Coturnix japonica: one gene and its partners. The protein of the gene in region 3 interacts with the protein of the main gene of each other region in a biochemical or structural test. Links are inferred from orthologs where the notes say so. Each region holds a gene or a part of one and is shown on either strand. Other genes may lie near its edges.

Evidence for each region.
Region 1: the proteins of ADRB2 (region 3) and GRK2 form a complex in vitro, tested with the Homo sapiens proteins (2 studies listed by BioGRID, with this or other methods). The link is inferred for Coturnix japonica from reciprocal best matches to the Homo sapiens genes ADRB2 and GRK2.
Region 2: the proteins of ADRB2 (region 3) and SLC9A3R1 form a complex in vitro, tested with the Homo sapiens proteins (3 studies listed by BioGRID and IntAct, with this or other methods). The link is inferred for Coturnix japonica from reciprocal best matches to the Homo sapiens genes ADRB2 and NHERF1.
Region 4: the proteins of ADRB2 (region 3) and MAGI3 form a complex in vitro, tested with the Homo sapiens proteins (2 studies listed by IntAct, with this or other methods). The link is inferred for Coturnix japonica from reciprocal best matches to the Homo sapiens genes ADRB2 and MAGI3.
Region 5: the proteins of ADRB2 (region 3) and GRK6 form a complex in vitro, tested with the Homo sapiens proteins (2 studies listed by BioGRID, with this or other methods). The link is inferred for Coturnix japonica from reciprocal best matches to the Homo sapiens genes ADRB2 and GRK6.

The regions. Positions count from the first base shown.
Region 1 is NC_029520.1:139,269-144,312, forward strand, and holds the start of GRK2 (beta-adrenergic receptor kinase 1), read left to right. Parts: upstream 1-1,501; 5' UTR 1,502-1,664; coding exon 1,665-1,777; intron 1,778-1,937; coding exon 1,938-2,014; intron 2,015-2,519; coding exon 2,520-2,593; intron 2,594-2,779; coding exon 2,780-2,881; intron 2,882-2,972; coding exon 2,973-3,047; intron 3,048-3,229; coding exon 3,230-3,291; intron 3,292-3,535; coding exon 3,536-3,587; intron 3,588-3,739; coding exon 3,740-3,831; intron 3,832-4,050; coding exon 4,051-4,150; intron 4,151-4,228; coding exon 4,229-4,307; intron 4,308-4,404; coding exon 4,405-4,535; intron 4,536-4,776; coding exon 4,777-4,874; intron 4,875-4,948; coding exon 4,949-5,044. UniProt on the Homo sapiens protein: Specifically phosphorylates the agonist-occupied form of the beta-adrenergic and closely related receptors, probably inducing a desensitization of them. Key regulator of LPAR1 signaling.
Region 2 is NC_029533.1:9,145,280-9,150,229, forward strand, and holds the start of SLC9A3R1 (Na(+)/H(+) exchange regulatory cofactor NHE-RF1), read left to right. Parts: upstream 1-1,395; 5' UTR 1,396-1,442; coding exon 1,443-1,808; intron 1,809-4,950. UniProt on the Homo sapiens protein: Scaffold protein that connects plasma membrane proteins with members of the ezrin/moesin/radixin family and thereby helps to link them to the actin cytoskeleton and to regulate their surface expression. Necessary for recycling of internalized ADRB2.
Region 3 is NC_029528.1:10,594,119-10,599,379, reverse strand, and holds the start of ADRB2 (beta-2 adrenergic receptor), read left to right. Parts: upstream 1-2,103; 5' UTR 2,104-2,325; coding exon 2,326-3,499; intron 3,500-5,261. UniProt on the Homo sapiens protein: Beta-adrenergic receptors mediate the catecholamine-induced activation of adenylate cyclase through the action of G proteins. The beta-2-adrenergic receptor binds epinephrine with an approximately 30-fold greater affinity than it does norepinephrine.
Region 4 is NC_029541.1:3,745,038-3,749,560, reverse strand, and holds part of MAGI3 (membrane-associated guanylate kinase, WW and PDZ domain-containing protein 3), read right to left. Parts: intron 4,272-4,523; coding exon 4,097-4,271; intron 3,294-4,096; coding exon 3,214-3,293; intron 1,767-3,213; coding exon 1,709-1,766; intron 1,250-1,708; coding exon 1,155-1,249; intron 894-1,154; coding exon 705-893; intron 24-704; coding exon 1-23.
Region 5 is NC_029528.1:11,947,415-11,950,649, forward strand, and holds part of GRK6 (G protein-coupled receptor kinase 6), read left to right. Parts: coding exon 1-9; intron 10-132; coding exon 133-222; intron 223-325; coding exon 326-534; intron 535-802; coding exon 803-940; intron 941-1,242; coding exon 1,243-1,380; intron 1,381-1,575; coding exon 1,576-1,710; intron 1,711-2,468; coding exon of another isoform or gene 2,469-2,474; exon of another isoform or gene 2,475-3,122; coding exon 3,123-3,173; 3' UTR 3,174-3,235.

The DNA of each region.
Region 1 (5,044 bases), on a different chromosome or scaffold from region 3:
CCAGTACGAGAGGAGGACCGGGCCCGCAGCAGGGAGCTCCCAAGGTGGAGGTTGTTGCCGAGATCCCTGGGTGGAGAAACGGGGCGCACCCTCTTCCCCCTACTTTTCCCCAGCTCCTTGCCTTGAAACACTTGTCACTTCCCTGTTAGCACAAAGCTTGAGGCCTCTCCAAGGAGGAGGGAGCAGAGCTGGGACGGGCCCTCTCTCTCGGTGCCACCACCAGCTCGAGCCCTGCTCTAAACCCCCTCACCCAGCCCTTGGATTCCTTTCTTCCCCTGCAGCAGCGAGGGCAGGAGCCCTCCAGCCTGGGCATGGCGGCAAGGTTGGGGATGGGGCTTCCACCCTGGGGCGCTTCCTCAGAGCCCTGTGCACAGGCAGTGGCCGAGGCTCGGCTGGGGGAGCAGCCCCCAGAGCTCAGGGAGGACTCGAATAATCAGCCGCGGGTGAGTGAGCACGGGGGGGGGGGGGGGGGGGGGGGGGGGGGGGGGGGGGGGGGGAGGAAGCTGCTGCATCTCCCTCCCCAGCTGCCTACCACGGCCGAGCGCTGACATTCGTGTGGCAGGGCTGCCTCGCTGCCTTGTCCTCTCATCTCCCACCCTCCCCCCCACCCCATTTTAGCTGCCGTTTTTTCCTTTGCAATGAGCGGTTGGTCCAAAGAACCTCTCTCTTGGGCAGCAGAGAGCTTTTTGCACTTTAAGAAAAAAAAAACAAAAAAACAAAAAAAAAAAAGCAAAAAAAATTAAAAGTAAAAAATCGGAAAAAAAACTCAAGATATGAGGGAAAAAAAAAGAAAAAAAAAAGTTGGCATCTTTTGGGTCGCTCTTTCGTTCCCCTCCCTGCCCGTGCCCGGCTGCTGCTCCTCTCCCCGGTGCATGGCACAGCGCAGCCCCCAGAAGCAATAAGGGAGGAGAGGAGGCTGCGGGCGGGCTGTGAGCAGCGCTGGGGGGGGTTTAGGGAAGGAGGGGGCAGAGCCCCCATCTCTGTCCTGGTGGCTGTTGCTGCGGCGTTTTTCTTTCTTCTTGGGTTCATTTGTTTGAGTTTTGCCACCAGGACAGAAGCGAGGGGAGCGGTGCGGGACCCCCCCCATACAGCCCCTCCATACAGCCCCATAGCCCCGCAGGGACAGCGAGCTCCCAATACACAAAGAGAGAGTTCTGTATATGGGATCGCTCAGTGATTTAAAGCGCCCGCACCGCGCCCGGCTGCCTCCCGCAACAACTCCCCATCGTTTAAAGGTTTCGTTGTGTTTTCGTTCCGTTTCGACCCCCCCCTCCTCCCTTCTCCCCCCTCGGAGACATATTGTAAATATATATTTTTTGTTGGCAATTTAGAGTCCAGCCGATGTTTGTGCTTTCAAATTAAATGTAAGCGTTAAGGGTTCAAGCAAAACCAAGTCGCGTGCGCTCTCTGCGTTGGGGCCGGGGGGTGTTGGGGGCACGGAGGGGCCGTTTGTTCCTGGCTGGTTGTTGGTTGTTGGGTTGTTTGCGGAGCTGGGTTGGACATCTTTGCTCCTCCAGCATTACTGCAACTACTGCCATACTGCAGCTCCGGGCTCAGCCCCGCGCACAGCTCGGGCCCAGCCCAACGCGTTTCCGGCTGCTCCTACTTCCGCTTCCGGGTCGCTGCTGGGGGTCGGGCCGGTGCCGGCCTCGGCCCCGCGCAAGATGGCGGATCTGGAGGCTGTGCTGGCCGACGTGAGCTACCTGATGGCCATGGAGAAAAGCCGGGCCGCACCCGCCGCCCGCGCCTCCAAACGGATCCTACTGCCCGAGCCCAGGTGAGTGCCGTCGGGTCGGGGGCACCGGGCCGGGCCCTGCCTGCCCTGCCGCCCTCGGCCCCGCCGTGCCCCTACGGAGCCCCCGTCCCCAGACACCACCGGGGCGCGTAGGGGCAGTATGGGGCAGTGTGGGCCGAGCTGAGCCCCGGCCGCCCCCCAGCATCCGCAGCGTCATGCAGAAGTACCTCGAGGAAAGGGGCGAATTAACCTTCGACAAGATCTTTGCGCAGAGAATCGGTGAGTGGGGGCTGCGGGCGCCGCCGTGGGGCTGCGGAGGGGCTGGGTGGGGTCCTCCCCCCCCCCCCCCTCGGTCCGCCCTGCCCCGCCCCGCCGCTTCCCCTCGCACTAACTGTCCTGGGCAGGAAGCGCCTCTTGCTTCCTCCCCGCGGCTCTGGTGGTTTCCGGCACCTCCGCCCTCTGGCAGCCCCATAGCCCTCCTCTGGCAGCCCCATAACCCTCCCGGCAGCCCTATAGCCCTGCTCAGCGCCATAGCCCTCCTCTGGCAGCCTAGTAGCCCTCCCGGCAGCCGCATAGCACTCCTCTGGCAGCCACATAGCCCTCCTCTGGCAGCCCCACAGCCCTCCTCTGGCAGCCCCACAGCCCTGCTTAGCTCCATAGCCCTCCTCTGGCAGCCCCACAGCCCTTCTCAGCCTGCTGTGCTCTTGTTGTGTGGCACCACATCGCTCGGCCTGGGTGCCACACTGTGATGCGGTCACCGCTCGCAGCACTGCCTCTACCCCAGGGTACCTGCTGTTCCGGGACTTCGCCCTCAACCAGGCTGAGGAAGCCAAGTCCCTGATGGAGTTCTACGAAGAGGTGTGATGTGGGGCTGGGGATGGGGTACCCTCTGATGCACCTGGGGGAGGTGGTGCCCTGGATGCCTGGAAGCAATGCACTCAGTGCCCAGGGTCCTGATATCCACAGGTGTCCACGAGACACTGTGCACTGTGTGCTCCTTGTGGGGCTGTGCCCTCTTCACCATGCAATCTGTGTCCTTGGCAGATCAAGAAATACGAGAAGCTGGACTCGGAGGAGGAGCGCCTGAGCAGGAGCCGCCAGATCTACGACCATTACATCATGAAGGAGCTGCTGGCCTGCTCCCATGTGAGTGCTGTGCCTCATCGTGCCAAGCCACAGGAGATTCCACCACCGTGTCCACCTCCTCACGGTGATGTGGTGCTGTCCTGCCCTGCAGCCATTCTCCAAGAGTGCTACAGAGCACGTGCAGAGCCTCCTGAGCAAGAAGCAGGTGCCCCCAGACCTCTTCCAGGTAAGTGCTGTCCGTGACGTGGAGGGGATGGTGGCACTGGGGTCACCAGAGACAGCTGGCCTTGGGTGGCAGAAGGTGGTAGTGGAGGTGTGAGATATCCCACCTAGAGGTGGGACCTGCAGGGAATGGGGCGGACCTGGGTGGTACTGGGGATGTAATGCTGACCCCCGTGTTACCCATAGCCCTACATTGAGGAGATCTGCCAGAACCTGCGTGGGAGCATCTTCCAGAAATTCATTGAGAGGTGAGACAGGAGCACTGCCCAGGGAGATCTGTCTCTCAGGGTGCTGCAGGGCTCCTGCTGAGAAGTTCCAGTGCTGTCTGTCCCCACACTGGAGAGTTGGGCCAGTGTCACTCCCAGTTCTGGCCTGGGGTCTCTTTTCCCACATGGGGTCCTCTCCACAATACGGATCTCCTCTGCCCTTCCTTGCGTCTTAGAGGTCTCCCCAGGGGTCCCTCGCTCTCACCCTCTCTGTGCTTCCTTGCAGCGACAAGTTCACGCGGTTCTGCCAGTGGAAGAATGTGGAGCTGAACATCCATGTGAGACCTTGCTCCTCGGGATACAGCCAGGGAGGGAATATGGGTCCTGGTTCTAAGGGAGCTCCAGGAGACTGAGGCAGGGTATGGGACCCCCCCAGGACACACAGGGGGTAGCTACCATCGGGTGATCCCCTCTTTCTGATCCACTTCAGCTCACCATGAATGACTTCAGTGTTCATCGCATCATCGGTCGCGGTGGCTTTGGGGAGGTCTACGGCTGCCGGAAAGCAGACACAGGCAAAATGTAATGGGGCTGGGGAGCTCTGTTCTTGTGGGCAGGGGGGGTGAGCGGTGTTGCCGTGATGGTGGGCATTTAGCGGTGCCAGAGCATTGCTGTGTCTCCACCTTCTGGGGCAATACATCATGGTAGTTGGGGGAAGGAGCTGTCTGACCACAGATGTCAAAGAGTGGGCGTGGTGGGTCCAGGTAGCAGCAGGACCCCACAGGGACTCTCTGCCCCCAGGTATGCCATGAAGTGCTTGGACAAGAAGCGCATCAAGATGAAGCAGGGTGAGACGCTGGCCCTCAACGAGCGCATCATGTTGTCCCTTGTCAGCACAGGGGTGAGGGGATTAAGGGCACAGGGTGATGCGGGGTGCTGAGGCACAGCTGGCTTGGCATGACATCTTCTCCCTGGCCAGGACTGCCCGTTCATCGTGTGCATGTCTTATGCTTTCCACACACCCGACAAGCTCAGCTTCATCCTTGACCTAATGAACGGTGAGAGCCTATAGCTGCTCCCCATTCCCAGCACCGCAGCCCCCTGGCCTCCCCGCCATGGCATTCCCAGGGTGACTGCTGGCGCCTGTTACTGCAGGGGGAGACCTGCACTATCATCTGTCTCAGCACGGCGTCTTCTCGGAAGCAGAGATGCGCTTCTATGCAGCAGAGATCATCCTGGGCCTGGAGCACATGCACAGCTGCTTCGTGGTGTACCGTGACCTTAAGGTGACCGCCCCCATGAGCACCCACCCACTGTGTGGAAATCTGGGGGCCCTACAGACCTCCAGGTCCTATGGGCACCCTACACCCAGCAGGAAGCCCCTAGGCACTGTGGGCATCTCTGGGACCCTGCAGTCATCCCTGCACCCCATATTGCACCCATCCTAACGTGCACAGGCACCCTCAGCCCAGCTGCCACCCATGGCCGTGGGCTGGGCTGTGGCTCAGGGGTGGCTCCATGTCCCAGCAGCCAGCAAACATCCTCCTGGATGAGTTCGGTCATGTCCGCATCTCAGACCTCGGACTGGCCTGTGACTTCTCCAAGAAGAAACCCCATGCCAGCGTGTGAGTGTGCCCGCCCATCTCGGCACTCCCCTGTGATTGCTGGGCACGGCCCTGACCTCGCTCTGTGCCCCCAGGGGTACCCATGGCTACATGGCTCCGGAGGTGCTGCAGAAGGGAACGGCGTATGACAGCAGTGCCGACTGGTTCTCGCTGGGCTGCATGCTCTTCAA
Region 2 (4,950 bases), on a different chromosome or scaffold from region 3:
TGAGGGAAAAGCTTTTTTCTTCCCAGTCGTTCCAGACAAACCCATCACTTGGGCTGTGGATGGGGCTGAAGTGGCCCATGGCATCACACCCCGGGCACTGTGCTGTACGGGGCAGGGAGACGGGGAATATCTGGGTGTGCTGCTCCAGATGCCAAGGGCAGCTGCAGAGGGCACCACTCTGATGCACTTGGGGTCAATTGGTCACATCCATCCCCACGAGGACCCCCCTTTCCCAGAGCCCCCTTCACCCCCGCGCCCCCCTCGGGTCCCTCTTTGCAAGTGCACAGATTAAAGCTGGATATTTTCAAGGCTTTGCATCTGCCTGTTTTTCTCTGTGTGAGAAATCCCTGCCCCGGGCCCTCCACGTGGGCGGCCGTACAGCACGGCGGGGAATGGGATGTGGGGCACGCAGCGGGGGAAGAGCCCGCAGCCCCCTCCAACTCCCAGCGCTCGGGCCGCACATTTCAGACAGTCCAAAGGTGAGAGGGGAAGAATAAACACGGCCTGTTAAATTAAAACCAACCTCCTCCCCTGCTGTTCTCATGGTGCGGAGTCCAGCATTCCCCAAATAACTCCGGCTTCCCACCAATGGCATCAGCTGCCGCCTCTCGGCTCATGGCTGCGAAAAATGCCGGACATTCAGCACAAGCGGCTCTTGGCTCCGCGCTGCTTCCCACCCTCAGCCGGGCTGTGCCGGCGCTGCAGGAGCTGTGCGGAGCTGTACGGAGCTGTACGGAGCTGTGCGGGGCTGTACGGAGCTGTACGGAGCTGTACGGAGCTGTACGGGGCTGTGCGGGGCTGTACAGACCCCCCAGGACCCGTCCGCTCTGTGGGTCGCAGCTGTTGTCGGGACGGGCCGCAGCAGCAGCTCCGTGTTTCCTGTCGCTCTGGGCTCGTTTCTTATCGCAGCCCCGCGCTACAACCGCCGCTACCGGGGCCGGGGCTCGTTTCCTGAACGAGAGGAGCGCTCCCCAAAGGGCACCACCCCCCCCATCCCCTCCCGCTCTGCCTTCCCACCCGCGCTGATCTCCCATCCCGGGGCGTTTCGTAGCCCCCGTAACCGGCTCTGAATGGCGATGCTGTGTGATGATGCTGTGTGATGCTGTGTGATCCGGGTGGTCCCGTTGGGTCCCGTTGGGTCCCGTTGGGTCCCGGTGGGTCCCGGTGTGTCCCGGTGTGTCCCGTTGGGTCCCGGTGGGTCGCTCCGTCGCGTTGCGGTTCCGCTGCCCGCGCCCTCGGGGCTACATTTGCATAACCCCGCCCACTCCCTTATTTGCATAACCGGTCGTTATTTGCATAATTCCGCCTTATCGCCGTCCTGAGCCCGCCCCCTCCCTCTCTGATTGGCCGGCTCCGCCTCCAGCCCCGCCCCGCGGTATAAAAGCCGCCGCCGGTGGCGGGCGGGCGCAGAGCGTTGAGTCGCGGGTCGTAGTTCGGCCGCCATGAGCTCCGCTCCGCCGGGACCCGCCGCGCCGCGGCTGTGCTGCATGGAGAAGGGCCCCGACGGGTACGGCTTCCACCTGCACGGCGAGAAGGGCAAAGCGGGCCAGTTCATCCGCAAGGTGGAGGCGGGGTCGCCGGCCGAGCGCTCGGGGCTGCGCGCCGGGGACCGGCTGCTGGAGGTGGACGGGACGAACGTGGAGCGGGAGAGTCACCAGCAGGTGGTGGAGCGGATCCGGGCCGCGGCCGGGGCTGTTCGGCTGCTCGTGGTGCAGCCGCTGCGCGAGGAGCCGCCCGGGACACACGGCGACACCGACGGCCGCGAGCAGCGGGAGCCCCCGGCGGAGCGGGGCGGCCACGGAGACACAGTGAGTGCGGGGCGGGGCGGGGCGGGCGGCATCTGGCGCACGTAGGGCCGGCCCGGTGCCCCCGGGGCTTCGCTCCTCGCTCAGGTCTCGGCCCGTCGGGTCGCGCCCCCCCCGCTCCGTCCTTGTGCCGCAGGAGCGAAACGGGGTCAGGCGTGTGGCGAGGGGGGGGCGGGGGGAGCTTGATGGCGACGCGTGAGCACGGGGGGCTGCCCGGCCCGGCCCGGCCTCCTGCCGCCGTGTGTCCTTTGCTTTGGGTTTTGCTGTTGTTTGCTCTGCTCGCTCCGGGAGTTCTCACTTCCAGCCCCCAGCGCTGCGTCGTCACCTCCAAAGAAGAGAACAGAGCAGGTGCCGGGTCGCCCCGAGGCTTTTGGCGTTAACTGCCTCTGAAATGCAAATAGGATTTGGCGAGGGGAGGCGTCGTGCTGCGCCGGCCGCTCTTGCCCTGAACTGCCCGGCTTCAGCCGCGCCGCGGGGATGGGGAACGCGGAGCCCTTCGGGTTTCAGAATGTCCGAAGCACGTAGGAGTCAGCGGTTGCACAAACAGGGCGCTGCAGAGGGGTGAGGAATGGAGACCCGCTGACCTTTCCTGCCCGCAGCAGTTTCTAAGGGACGCTCGGGGCTGCCGCGGATAAAGCCGCTTTTTGTTTGCTCGGTGAAAACAAGTATTTGTTGTTGCGACCGAGGCGCTTCCTGGGAGGCCGTGACACAGAGCTGCGCTCCGCTCCTGCAACCCGCCCGCGGTGCCGAGCTGTTGTCCTGCAGGGCGAGGTGCTGCTGTCACCCAGCGCTGACTCTTCCCTTTGTCTAAAGCTCCCACGGGCCGCCCGTGGGCTCTGGTGGCCGCAGGGTGCACGTCGCCCCAGCTGGAGTCTCAGGGCAGGACACGCTGCGTGGGAACGAGCAGGCTGTGCTCCCACGGCATCCAACATATGGCGCAGTGCTCGCGTCCCCCCCGGCCACCGAGTCCTTCTGTGCTGCGCCCTCTGCTCCGTGAGCTGGAAGGATTCATTGGGACGCGGCTGATGGGGCCGGGGAGCGCCCTGCCCTGCACGCCTCGGTGCGCAGCTCCGTGCGGGGGTGGGACGGTTCCGTGCGGTTACCGCTGACAGCTCCTGTCGGTGTGGGAGCAGGAAGTCGGTGACGCTGCTGACACGGGCTGATCTCGGTGCAGCCCGGTGGTTTCACAACAGGTCGCCGGAAGCCGCGGGGCTGGGGCCGGTTCCCAGCCTGGGGAACCCGGAGGAGCCGCAGGACGGCGCTGGGAGCGGAGCCACCGAGCGGGGCGGGTTGTGCCCCCGGGCCGTGCCCGGCCGCCCCGTGGTGGGGATTCTCCCGGGATCGGTGCCGGCAGGAGCGCGGCGAGTCCGTGTGTGTCAGAGTCCTGTTTGCTTTGTGGGGCAGGGCTGGCCTTTATTTGCATGCAGGCTTGGAGACGCGTGTTGCCAGCGGCCGGCTGTCAGCCTTCCTGCTCTGTGCTGCTCTGTGCTGCTCCGAGCGCTTAACACCTCGGCCAGGACACGGTCCCCCTTAGCAGGGAGCATTGCCACAGCTGGATGCCACCCCAGGGGACATGATGGGCTTCAGGACGCCCGTGAGTGCACCCACCCACAGCGGGCATGGCTTTAGGGTCCTGGGGGTGGCCCCAGGTGGCAGAACACAACTTGAGCCCTGCTGGGGCTTTGCACCACATGGGACTGTCCCCGGTGTTTGTCTGTGGGTGGTGGCCCCCCGCCCCACACCGTGTTTCCGGAGGCTTCAGCTGCACGGCAGTGCTTTGATACAGCTCCTCGTGCCGGGCTTTCACTGCAGCACTGCTCCTGCTGCCCAGCGCCAGCTGTGCCCAGTGCTCACAGTGCTCAGATGCTGAATGCAGCGCTTGCTCTCCCCTGCAAAACCCATCTGAGCCCCCGGGTGCAGGTTGGGGTGTGGTGAGTGCAGCTGGGTGCATTGTGCAGGGAGAGCTGAACTGAGAAATGTATTAAATTACTTCTAGAGCCAACTGTGCTCGGGAGCAGGAGTGGGCTGCATGAAAAGCAGCTCCAGCCTGGCCCTACGTGACAGGGATGCTGCAAGAGGCTGCTTTGCATCCCCTTTGTATGGGGCCCCGGCGCGTGTGCCAGATTTCAGGACCCGTGTGAATGTGCTGGCCTGGCTGTCCTCGCAGCCCGTGTTTCTGCCGGCTGCTGGGAGCTGCCTGCAGCTTGTTGCTGCTCACGGGGCTGCAGGAGCTTCCTGTGAGCTGGGGCTGCAGATGCTGCTCATTGGGTGCTGTTACTGCGCTGGGAGCTGTGGGCACCCCGGGCGTTTTGCTGCTCCTGTGCTGTGCAGGCTGGGGTCCCTCCGACACCAGGCACTGTGTGCCCTGCTTGGAGCTGCTCCTGCAGCCATGGACGGGACACGATGTGCTGCAGCTCCGCTCCCTCCCGGCTCTGTCAGCTCTGCTTTTTGGACTTGGCACATCATGGCCCACCTGGAGCATTGCAGCAGCCGTGCTGTTGTGTTGCAGCCCCATCTGACATCCCATGCAGAGCACAGGGGATGCACTGGGCAGCTCCCGGCCAGCACATGGACACAGCTGGCTGCTGGTACGTCCTGCCGTAACCTTTGGTCCCCAGCTGGGCGTTGGTGAGCCTTGACCCCACGGTGTTGTGCAACGGGGACGGGGCTGATAGCAGCTGTGGGGCTGTCACACAGGCTGTTCTCATTGCGTGGCTGCTCCAATGTGTCACCCTCGGCAGCGCCCTGTGTCTGTCCTTGGTGCCAGCCCAGGATCATTGCTGGCCAAGGGAGTTTCGTGGTGTGATGTGGGTGTGCTGTGGGTAAGGAGCAGCGCAGGGCACGCACGAGGGGAATTCCTGCCTGTCCCCAGGGATGGTTTGGGTACCAAAGTAGGACAGACGAAGGGAAGGATAAGTGATGAAACCCCGTGGTGAGGGATATTTTAGGAACTCCAGTGTGACTTTTGTCACTGGGAAATCCCTACCGCTGATCGGGGGCTAACGATCAAGACAGTATCACTATGCATGTATTATGTGAGTAGGATGAGAGGTGATGGTTTTACACTGTGCCGGGGACTCAGGTTGGGCATCAGGAACCATTTCTTCACCCAGGGGCTCACAGTGGAGCAGGGGAGCCCTCTGGG
Region 3 (5,261 bases):
TGTCACAGTCCTGAAGAAGATGCGTGTACCTGAAAGCAAAGCTGTTTGTTTCCACTTGTGTCAGCTGGGCTGGTAAAAGCGATTACCTCTTTCTCCCAGCCTTGCCTCTCTCATTGATCCCACTGGCCGCTCTTCAAATGTCATCCCGCAAGGAAGGAGCACACATCCAATTGTGAAAGGAAAAGATCAACGTGATGACAAAGCAGCGGGGTCAGTGTGGGGATGTGCTGCGTGAGATAAACAGGGTGCACCTGGCTCTGACACCCTGCAAGCTAGGGCCCCCAGAAGGAGGCACTGTGGGGTTGGCAGAGCCCCCCAGCACTATGGGCAGTGCAAGAATGCAAACTGGACCCTCCTCCCAGCCTCTACTCTGATGTTTGGTATTATTTCTGTTTGAAAAGAAAGCCTGAAACTACTCAAAAGCACAAGTAAAAGCAGGCAAACCGCAGAAGTAACCCAGATTTTGGGTGATGACGTTTATGTGGGGCAAAATCCTGCCTTTATGTTGAAGTTGCTGTTCATTGCTGCACAGTTTGGGTCGTGGCTGAAGGCAGCCTGGACTGAGGGCGCAGCCCTGCACACCCCGTGCAGGTGAGCAGATGGCCAAAGCAAGCAGAGAGCTGCCAAACTGAGGAAGAAAGTTCAGCCCTGCTGCCTTCCACCATGGCCCGCTAAGCACGCAAGGCACAAACTGCTGTGAATATAACATTAAAAATGCCAAAATACTGAGATAGAAGCTGGGTTTGCTGAGTTCTGCATCCCACACCATGGTGGTGATGGAGGCTCTGGAGAAGGATGGAGGGCCATTACCAGGATGTGCAGGATGAACAGACAGCTCAAGTGTGTTCTGCATGTGCTATGAGACACAAATCTGAGCTCCGACCCTCCCAGACTCAGTGTGTTTTCTCCTAAGCTCCCAAAGCTGCCTCTCCTCCTTTCAAGACAGCACTTCTTGCAAGGATAAGCATGAAATGTCTATTGGAACAAGGAACCTGATACTTCCTGAAAGTTGTGATTTAGTGTCAGAGCATTTCCTGATGTTAGCCTTACAGGAAGCAAACTTGCCAGTTACTACCATAGACTTACCTTGATCATTTGGCAGAGTTTTCTGACCAGGTCTTCAAATAGAGCATTGGACAGTGAGCTGAGCACAACATGTAGTTCCCACACTCATCACTTTTCCCTCCTGCTCTTCTCCCCCAACATTACATCTGATCCACCTGCATTTTCCTAGCAGTTTTCTGCTGTGTTCTCCCCATGAGGTGCATGCACCGTGCAGGAACCTCAGTGCACAGGAGCCTGCAGGTGTTAAGCCTGTATTCAAGGATGGAACAGATCCTCACCTGGTGCAAAGCCAGTGTGATGTTACAGCCTTCCACCAGCTGGCTGCAGCCATACGTTGCATGGATTGCGTGGATCCCTTTAACTCAATGGTGGGCACTGAAAAGTCCTGGTAATTAACTAAGGTCATTAGTGCTCCCCTGCACTCTTGGCTGCTTCACAAGCATTCCAAAGCCACCCGTTACAGCCCCTGAGCCAGAAGCACGAGCTGCTGCAACTGCAACTTCATCGTGTTTCCTGATTCCAGCACCTCGCTCACCCCTCGGTGTTAAACCACAAAGCTCCCCCTGCGTGCAGGCGGCTCCTGTATTGATAGCGCTGGCTGAGAGGCTGCGGGCAGCCCCCGCTCACATACGGTGCCACCTGCGGGACGGCAGCACGAGGAGATGGGACCCTTCCGTGCACAGCAATGCGCAGACATGGCGTTCCAGCCAGAACGTTATCTCTCGTGACACTGAAGTTTGTAGGATCCCTCAGCCCTTATTTAGGATATTTGTTCGCTTTGGTGGCAGGGAGCAGCGCAGAAGTCACATAACCCCGTGTCGGGGTGTCGGGGGGCAGCGGGACCGCAGCGTGGGGAGGGAGACGGACGCCTCCGTTCTCAGGCTGTAGCGTGGAGCTGGAACACGCGTGGGGCGGCTGCCGGGCCGGGGGGCACACGGGGGGGTGCGAGGTGCGCGCAAGGCGCGGCGCCGGCTGCCATTGGCCGTGTCGGGCTGATGTCACGGCGGGTGTTGCTATAAGCTCGGCGGCGCCGAACGGGCTGGGGACAGTCGGGCGGGTGAGACGCTGCGGGACGAGTTGGGTCGGGTGAGGAGCGGGGCGATCTGGAGCGGAGCGCAGCTCGTACAGCCCCGCACGGCGGGAGCCACCGCTCACAGCCCGCACCTGCTGTTCCCTATGCGCGGAGCCCGGCGAAACGCCACGACATCGGAACGCTGAGAGCAGCCCCCGCAGCCTGCCCGGGGATCCGGCTGGGGGGACATGGGGGTGGAGGGCACCGAGCTGCCCGGCGGCAACGTCAGTGCCAACCAGAGCGCAGCAGACCCCACGGTGTCGCGGGACGTGTGGGTGGTGGGCATGGGGATCCTCATGTCGCTCATCGTGCTGGTCATCGTCTTCGGCAACGTGCTGGTGATCACCGCCATCGCCCGCTTCCAGCGCCTGCAGACGGTCACCAACTACTTCATCACCTCGCTGGCGTGTGCAGACCTGGTGATGGGACTGGGTGTGGTGCCCTTCGGTGCCTGCCACATCATCATGGAGATGTGGAAGTTTGGGAACTTTTGGTGTGAGTTCTGGACCTCTCTGGATGTGCTTTGTGTCACCGCCAGCATCGAGACCCTGTGTGTCATCGCTGTGGATCGATACTTTGCCATCACCTCCCCATTCAAGTACCAGAGCCTGCTGACCAAGAGCAAGGCACGTGTGGTCATCCTGATGGTGTGGGCCATCTCGGCCCTCACCTCCTTCCTGCCCATCCAGATGCACTGGTACCGGGCAGACCGTGATGAGGCCATCCTCTGCTATGAGAAGGACACGTGCTGTGACTTCTTCACCAACCAAGCCTATGCCATTGCCTCCTCCATCATCTCTTTCTACCTACCGCTTGTGGTCATGGTATTTGTGTACGCCAGGGTCTTCCAGGTGGCCAAGAAGCAACTGCAGAAGATAGACCGGAGTGAGGGCAGGTTTCACATCCAGAACAAGGAACAGGACCAGAACGGGAAAACCGGGCACCGCCGTTCCTCCAAGTTCTTCCTGAAGGAGCACAAAGCTTTGAAGACCTTGGGCATCATCATGGGCACCTTCACGCTGTGCTGGCTGCCCTTCTTCATCGTCAACATCGTGCACGTCATCCAGGACGACATCATCCCCAAGTACGTGTACATTCTCTTGAACTGGCTGGGCTATGTCAACTCTGCCTTCAATCCCCTGATCTACTGCCGGAGCCCAGACTTCAGGTACGCCTTCCAGGAGCTCCTGTGCCTCCGCAGGTCTGCTCTGAAGATGTACGCTAATGGCTACTCAAACAGCAACGGCAGGAGTGACTACAACGAGGAGGAGAACGGCTACCCCCTGGCACCAGAGAAAGCCTGCGAGCTGCTCTGCGAAGAGGGCTCCTTCCCTCACCCTGAGGACTTTTTGCACTGCAAAGGTACTGTGCCTAGTGGGTAGCTCTGAGATGCGATGGGCTCTGGCGTGGCACACTGCTCCTAACGATGAGCCTTCCTCTAAGGAAAAACAAAAACCCAGTAATAATAACGATCCTCACCTAAAGCACACCTAAACCTCAATGGCTGCAAGGAACCTAAAACTCAGCAAACCTCCTGCAAACAGGTGGAAGGCTGCCCTGGGTGGCTTGGGTGGGCTGGCTGCTTGCAGAGGTTATGAATTTAAGTGCACGACCTTAGGTCCCTTGAGCCGGGGGGGTGAGGAGTGCTGGGGGATGGTATTTTAAGGCTGTGCAGAAAGCTCGTCCCAGGAAGAACTTCCTGGCTGTGGCCGATGTTGAACTACCTCATGAGCTCGGTGCTGGCGGCTGCTGCGGGAGCGCTGTGCTCCCCGAGCTGTGCAGCACCTGCCCCCATATCCCCCCCTTTAGGGATGCTTAGAGCTCTGTCGGCTGCGTCTGATCCTGTTGCTGTCAGTGGGAAAGTTTAAACAACGCCCGGAAAAACAGAACAAAACAAAACAAAAAAAAAACAAACCCACGACAACCACGAATGCGTCTTTTGCCAAGTGCTATAGGACTGTCCGCTGAAATAAGGATAGAAATAAACGGAGTCTTTGCCCAGAATGTGATACAGTGGGTGTGGGACTCAGGAACGTGATAATGGGAAGCTGGGCGATACGCTGCTGCAGTCGCAGCCCGTCCTTTTATCGAGACCGCAGCCAAAGCTCTTGTAGCCGCCCAGTTTAAATTCGGCTCTCAGCCCGTAGAGGTGGGCAGGGAAGGTTTTATTTTCTGTCGCTGAGGGCTGACAGTCCGGCAGCGCAGCCCTGGCCGCGGGACGGCTCTGGGTTGGTCTGTCGGTTTGTTTGTGAAGGGTTTTTTCCCCTTGCAGCGGGCTTTGCATTGCGTTCCCGCAGCACTTGGCGGCGGGCGCATGGGCTGTCACGGTGGCAGACGCGAGCGGGCAGGTGGGGACGGACGGACGGACGGACGGACGGACAGGGTGGCTGTGCTGCTCGGCGCTGCTCGGAGACCCCGCTGGAAGAAAGCAGCGATCGCGGGGCTGAAATGGAGCTCCCCCCCTTCGCTTTCTTCCTCAGCTGCAGTTTGAAAGAGGGGAGCCGAGGAGGATGTGAAAGTGCGGTGTCTATAGAAGCACGTGGGAAAGATGGGGGAGGGACGGCCCCGCGCCCCGTGGGAGCTCTTCTCCCCAGGGTTGGCACCGTTAATAGGAGGCTCGCAAAGACCTGGGCTGTTCTGCCCACTGTTCCTGCAGCCCCCGAGGGTGCGCCCAGGGAACGCTGGATGGGATCGGCTCATAAGGTGCTGCAAGGTGCAGGGTGGCTGCAAACTCATTCTTGAGCCCTTGGCGTTCCTCATGGTAAAGCCCCACCCGGTTTTGTGGGGAAGGGTTTAGAAATCCTCGTGCTCCCTTCTGCCTTCCCCCAGGTATCCCAATCCGGTTTGGGAGGTCAGGCAGCCCCTTAGCCCTTTCCTAACCCTATGTTGGATGCTGGCTCTGCTCTGCTTGCAGCCTCTCCAGCTTGGTGCATGCTACAGAGTGGCAGGGAATGTGTGCAGCAGAGCTCTGTGTCACTGCCAGCTTTGCTGCCCGTGCCCACCTGCACCTTCCTTGGAGCTGTCAGCAGTGTCCGAGCACTCCCGAAGTCATCAGGTTCAGCTTTTACATTACAGTGTGAACAAACGAGAGGGGTGTGATGGCGCAGGGTGGTGTGTGGCTGTG
Region 4 (4,523 bases), on a different chromosome or scaffold from region 3:
GTTTATGTCTACGATGACATCACCTGTTCAAAAAGGAAGTTAAACAGCATTAAAACCAAACTACACACACCTTTCAAGTCTTCTGAGGCTCAGAAAAGAAAAAAAATCACTGGACAAAATCATTCTGTTCAAGAAATAATAATGCTGGCTTTACCTCCTGACTATCTGTTTCCAAGAAGTGTAAAGGACTTCCTCTTTGTGTTTATCCCGTGTCATCTCAGAGCACAGTATGCTAAATATATAAGGTTTAATCTCCAGCAGAGTTAAAAAGAAACAAACACCCTACTATACAGTCACAGGAGATGAAGCAGCACACACACACTGCTGCAAACAGATGTCTTCTGCTTTAATTCATGCTTTAGAGCATCCTAAATTCAATCCAAAAATAAATCGGATTTTTTTTGGGGGGGGGGTGTTCCTATGTTTATTTTAGGATTGGTTGAACTTAAGCTAGGATTGCGCCCACGCGTATTTCATAGCCTTGCGCTGTTGCCACGTGTGGGTTAAGCATGTAATTTCAAAGTGAAGGGAAAGTACATGTCAAATCCTGAAGCCCTGTTTCATAATACACATCACAGTGATCAAGATTGTGTACGCAATACAATATTCCCAGGAGAAAACCGTCCTCTCAATCTCGCACATCAGCAGCTGCACACTCTAAAAAGCATCAGAAGAAATGCAAGCTTAGAGAAATAATGATTTACCTGGTGCAATTCTCCCATCTTGCGCAGCAGGTCCATCTTTTAACACGTTCTTCACCTGGAGAAACTCATCAGGCCTGTCCCCTCCGATGATGGTAAAACCAAAACCCATCGTGCTTTTTTTCAGTGAGGTCCGTATAAGTGCTCCTATAAGCTGGGAGGGATCTCTAGTGAAGAGAGACTTCTCTGCCCCTGTGCATGATAAGATGCAATATAATCAACCATCAGCAATGCTGCTTTATGGCGGCCACTACATCTCCAAAGTACGGTGACCACAAGCACACGTAAAACAGACAATCAGAGAATTAAGGAAGATATCTTAAAGCCTGGCTACCAAACTTGCATGTTTTCCAAACTGTATTACAGATTAAAACAGGGGACAAATGAAATCTCCCACCTCTAATTTCTGGTTTTACTCTCTTACCCTTGACGTCAATATATATTTAGTGATACCTGATTTTGAAGGGCCACCATCAGTCTGTCCCAGTTGTTTTTTCCTTTTGGCTTCCAACACTGGGTTTTCAAACTGAGTTTTCTGGTTAATGTGACTGTAGACAAAAGGTAGATTAAGGTATCAGAGGAAACCATCCTGCCTGCACCATCCCAAGAGACAACCCACAAATACTATTGCTTGAATGAATTCCAAACTATCAGAATCAACATGGAATGTCTTTTGTTTTTATTTCCTTTCAACTTGATTTACTTTAAAAAACAACGTGATTTCACTTGTAACCAATTGGGAGAGTATACCTTCATCCCACTCCACAAACTTCCAAGCTCATTCCTATTTATTAATTACTATCATTGCTACTTGCTTTCCTTCCCTAGAAGAACTTCACTCCAATATGTCAGCACAACCATATTATGGTCCTTCAGTGATTTAGAAATGTGCACAGCAGCCTCTAGAACTTATCTTTACTCAGTGCAATCTATATACACTGCTATGCAACTGCTTCCCTGCATTCTGCTCAGCTTGTGCCTATTCCAAATTAATACTCAGCACTTACTCAACGTAATATGTTCCATACTGTGGATCTTCTATTTTTTCCCATCCATAAGGAAGTTCTGCAATCAGAAAGAACAAAATTCTCCACTACTTTGGAAAACTACCTGCAAATATCAGCACTCTTACAAAAAAAGGACAGATGAAAAACATGAATTAAACAGAAATCACTTTTTTTTTCCCCTTTTTTTGTTTGAGACTTTTCTTCTGATGAGAAAACATTGGCTTATTCCAAGGAACCTGAAGCCCTGCACCTCTCACTCTGTTCCACTGGATCAGACTTCTATTTAACAAAACCACATCAATTTAAGTCTGTAGTAAACTTAGACCCAAATTAACCTATTTGGGAAGGAAGAACATATGAAAGGGGATAGAAAACACAAAGTCTGGTGAGATGGTAAGCAGCAGCAGATCATTAGTGACTAGAGGTGGCAGGCAGTTAAAACAGAGGTCCAATTACTTTAGCTTTACTGTTCTAGTTACCATGACCAGGGAAATTTAAATAGCTGAATAATTGACACAGCCAGGTAACCAGACATTCCGAGGGATAAAATTTCTGTGTAATCTTGTTTGAGGCTGCCCTAAGTTTGAAGGTACCAGCAATTTTCCTTGCATATGACAGCATGTTACCACTTATTAGTATCAGCATCACTCCACAGGATTTGACAAAAGACCCAGGGGGGCTATTCATTTAAACGTTGTTCATTTGGATATCCTGCATCTCTCCGTTTCAAGTGCTCTTTTTATCCTGTGGTGTGCTGCACGTATGTTTAACAAGCAGCGGTATGAGTCCATTGCTCCAGCTGGCTTCATTATGAATACATGATTGTTAGCCTGTGCAATTTAAGGAGATGACAGGCTGTTCTGAATCTGCCTCAGCTTTTGTAATGTGCGTTTGCTGAAGACTGAGCTACTTGGTGCTCCTTTTTTGGCTGACTAAATCACAGACTACATAGGAAATGGATACAGGTGTCGTCTGTGGGTCAGTCGTGAGCCTGACTTACAAGTCTTGAAACAGCAGCATGAAGAGCTGTTACCCCTACTAACACATTCAAATGTTATACCATAAAGCTTGTGATACACATTACTAGCAATAGGTATTACACTGCATCTTCATTCTGCATATATTCTAGTATTTATGGACCTTTTATCCCTGCCATGTTCCACCCACATAAAAATTTCCAGCACGATTGCTGCTGATATATCCAGCTTTCTCCTTAGCAATGATACTCACTGGAACAACATATATCATTCTCTTCTCAGGAATGCAGATACATCCATGATTCAGTCAGATTCCACGGCTCCAGGAAAAATCCATTATGGTCTTTCCCAGTCTTATGTGGACTCTCACTACCACTGAACTATGGATACTCAGCACTACACTCTATTTGCTCCAGTGGCACGTGTATCAGCAGTAAGTTTCTGTCACAGCAGTAATGGATCTCAACTAGCCCTGATAAACTCAACCATTGATCAGCCACAGTAACAAACAAGCTCTAAATATCTCACCTCCATCTTCACAATCTTCAGGAGCTTTGGCTTTCTTACAGAGCCGTGGATCGAGCCATGTTGTTGTCTTTGTGTTGTGGCTGCAGAGCAAAACAGCCCATTAAAAGAAGAGGACTTCCTCAGACTCAAGAAATTTCACTTTACCTTAAATATTTACTACCTCGGTCAAACCATAGTCATTAGATAACCTAATCCCTGCTTATGCCTCAGTCAAATGCTAAATAGAAAAGGTGACAACGATACTCAGAGGTGCCAGCATTGGAGACTCCTGAGGACAGATGTGAAACATGAGAGGAATGCTCTCCTGTGCCCCAGAAAGCTCACGTGGAAACACCATCTATTTCTACCTGAAAGCAGCAAACGCTTTTAGTTGTATAATTAACATTCAATTGGGTTTTTATTTCTTTTCACCTCAGAATTCATAATTGAGGCTATTTCACATGTGCACACATGAACTGCTTTTCTATCCTGAGCTTTAATCTATGCTGCTCATCTTTTCAAGCAGGCATTCCCAGCCAAGGAACTCATGCTGAGAAGAAAGAACACGCAAGTTCTCAGATGTCAGAGAGATTTGTCATTGTAAAAGTTCATATGATGCTATACCTTCCCTACCAACATCCAGCCAGCTTTGCATTTTATGAGATACATAACTCACATTGCAAACTGACTATGCACGTGGAGCCATAACACTTCCCTGCACAACAGCAATCAAATACGTAGCATAAATGATTAACAGTAAGGAACAAATGACAGGAAATATATAAAATTAAATATATAGGAATATAAAGTAAAAGAACAGGACAGGTCTAAGAGCATTAGGCAGCTACCCAGACTGTGGCTCTTCAGCACGTATCTTTCCTGCTGGCAGTGTTGGGCTACTCACTCGATGAAGTAGATCATGCCAGTGTCAGTGTAGGCCATCTCCCAGTTCTTGGGCAGAGGTTCCAGGGTTTCATCCCTTGACATGTAATTTCTGAAGTCCATGGAGCTGCTTGTCTGGTTGTAACTGGGAACAGGTTTCATCCAGTCAGAAGAATCTGAGTGTTTTTCTTTGTTTTCTGCAGTTGTTCAGGGAAAGCATTACTATTTGTCAGATGCTTATGCTGTTTCTCACTAAGCACCACCCTCTTAATCTGGCTATGAGAGAATGTCAAACACGTCCCTGGATGTGATGAGCATTTTTCCACTTTTTTTTTTTTTTTCCAGCTATGGACTTTGAAAAGCTGACATGAAAAAACTGAACTCTGTTCTGCCCCTGCCAAAGAGAATTAACCTCATATTATTTGTCTGAGCCTACGCTACAAAATCAG
Region 5 (3,235 bases), about 1.4 Mb from region 3:
ATGATCATGGTGAGTGCGGAGCCTAGGTCCTTTTCCCTTCTTGTGCTTGAATCAGAGTTGCTCCGAGTTCTTGGCAGCTTCAGTTATCGTCTCATGACTTTGATTTGTTATCTTTTGCCCTCCTCCTTGCAGGTCACATTCGTATCTCAGATCTGGGGCTGGCTGTGCATGTGCCTGAGGGCCAAACAATCAAGGGACGTGTGGGAACAGTTGGCTACATGGGTAAGAAGTGATCCTGGTTTAATTAAAAAGTAGCCTCTGACTCCACTGCACTGCACTGTACTCTCCCTGATCTCACATTTTTCTCACTCCTGCTTCTGTATAGCTCCAGAGGTGGTGAAGAATGAGCGCTACACATTCAGCCCAGACTGGTGGGCACTGGGCTGCCTGGTGTATGAGATGATTGAGGGACAGTCCCCCTTCCAGCAGCGCAAGAAGAAGATCAAGCGAGAGGAGGTGGAGCGGTTGGTGAAGGATGTGCAGGAGGAGTACTCGGAGAAGTTCTCGCCGTGTGCCCGCTCCCTCTGCACCATGGTAGGAGTGCAACCCTGTCCCCTATCACCTCTTTGCACACAGCAGCCAAACATCATGACTGCTCCCTGTAGAGGCACAGATAGGAATGAGGTTCCCTTGCTCTGACACTGGTAACATAGTGCAGGAGGGTCCAGAGTGCCTTAATTCCTCACTCACAGATGCCTTGTGAGCCCATGTCATTCCTGGAGACAGTGCAGGAGTCCACCAACCCCAGGGCTGCTCCTGCCCAGTATGCTCTTCCTGGCACACTGATTTCCTTGTGTTACAGCTCCTGTGCAAAGACCCTCTGGAACGCCTGGGCTGCCGAGGAGCAGGGGCTAGGGAGGTGAAGGAGCACCCTCTCTTCAAGCACCTCAACTTCCGGAGGCTGGAAGCGGGCATGCTGGATCCACCCTTCAAGCCAGATGTAAGTGCCTGTCCACCTCCTCACCTCTTCAGTCACTGTTGCTGTCAGGGTGAGAAGGAGCCCTGCACTGGCTCACCTGAGGAGGTGGGGTCCATCCCTCTTTGTTTCTGGGGCTACTGCTCTGGCCATTTACCTGAGGGTGGGCTGCTGGTCACAAGTGGGTCTTACCAGTACTCCCTGCCTGGCAGAACAGAGTTCAGGCAAGCAGGTAGAAGGGGCTCATGCTTGACCAGTATCCAAGTTATTTCAGTGAGTGTTATCACTGTGCAGCCTGGCATTAGAGCAATGTTTGTGCTGTTTAGCCCCAGGCCATCTACTGCAAGGATGTTCTGGACATCGAGCAGTTCTCCACAGTGAAAGGAGTGGAACTGGAGCCCACAGACAATGACTTCTACCAGAAGTTTGCTACAGGAAGTGTGCCCATTCCTTGGCAGAACGAGGTGGGTGGGAACTAGCATGTACACCTTTTTTGCAGGACAGGTCTTTGCCCCTGCTTGTGCTCACTGTGGCTGTGTGCAGTGTCCCACAAGGCAGGCAACAGGAACTCTGCTGTCACTGCTGCCCTTGCACTCTGCTGGGCTCTCAGTGACAGGCTTTGTGTGGCAGTTGCTGCAGCCATTTTTGCCCTCTTCCAGATGATAGAGACAGACTGTTTCAAGGAGCTGAATGTGTTTAGCACAGATGGCACAGTGCCCCCAGACCTGGACTGGAAAGGGCAGCCTTCACCACAGCCCAAGAAAGGGTTACTCCAGCGCTTCTTCAGCAGACAGGTAAGAGTGCATGCCCAGTATTTCTTGCACAGCCCTGAGCCCTCTCTCCCTGATGCAGAACGGTCAGGAAGGTGGGAATGTAGGGGCAGCAGATATGAGTCCCCCTGCTGGGCTGAATCCCAGGGCTCTTGGGAAGTCCTGTGCAAGGCTGCAAGGAACCAACCCTTGCCTGGCTGACATTCACATTGCTGCATGTTGAGGGGGCTGGTATGGAGTGTCCTGGCTAAACATGCTGCAGTTGCACAGAGTGATGCTGCTGACGGCTCTAAAATAGCAAGTCTTCTCCCTTCCTACGTGAATAATACCATCCCTGAAGAAGACCTTCATCTTGCTGTGGTCTATACAGGCTCTGGGGATCCCTTGAACACTTCTGCTAGGCCTTGAGCAGACAGAGAGAGCAGTGCTTTCTAGGGATGAGGAGAACAGAAGCATCGTGCATCTGCTGTGGGCTCGCCTGCCTGTATGTCTCCTCTGGGCCAGAACAGTATTTGCCTTCTTTCCAGGACTGGCAAAGTCTGGGCTGCTGCCTCAACAGCTGCTAGCAGCTGTGGCACTCGAGCACGGTTGGCTCTGGCCTGCCCTGGACCCATTCCCAGTCACCCAGTGCTGCCTCTGACTTCCCTGTCGAGTTCCCATTTGTGCTTAACTGTTCGTCTTGCTGGAAGACACAGCTCTTCCGTAGGCAGGCAAGACCTGCACAAGGATGGGCTGCCTCAGGCAGGGACTGAGCTGTGATTTGCCACGTTTTCTCTTTCCAGAGGTGAGCAGTCTCTCCTGGCTGCTCTGCTCAGGGAAATACCTGGTGGCCCACGGACATGGCGAGATCTGGGAAAGAGGAGTGTTATCCTTCAATGCCTGACCCCTTCCCCCAGCAGAGCACAAGCTGTTTGTTGTTCTAACTGCCCCCTGAGCCACTAATCCTGCTCCCTGCTCTTGCTGCCTTCCCCACTGTTGGGGAAGCTTTACCCTCAGCTTGAGCCAAAGCTGCCCCTATACTGCTGCAGCTGGGAGCTCTGTTCCCAGGGGGCTGCGAGAAGGCCAGGGATCCCTTCTCTCTTTGGATGTCCTGGATACATGGAAGAGTTGAGACACTGTGAAGCGTTTGGCATTGTCCCATGCTCAGGCTCCCTCCCCAGGGCTTCAGCTGCTTTCTGTGACCTGATGAGTCCAGACTAGGGCAGATTGTATGCGCTGGCACTGAGCTGTCTCCCTGGGTGCCTGTAGTCCCATCTTCCTCCCAGCTTCTGAGCCAGTCAGCTATGCACTCACAACTACGTCTGCTAGGAGCTGAGTCCCAAGGTGCAGCTTTGTTTCTCTGCCAGAGGGCAGCTGTAGACCAGGTTGTGACTGTGCTTTACCCTCTGCTTGCTGTGCTCCTCTCTCTTTCCCTCTCGTTGCCCCTCTGACTTCAGGACTGTTGTGGGAACTGCAGTGACAGTGAGGAAGAGCCGACCCGGCTGTAGAGCACAGCCTGTTCTTCTCTTGCCTCTCCGGGTGCCCAGAAGAACAACAGCCCAGCCTGAAG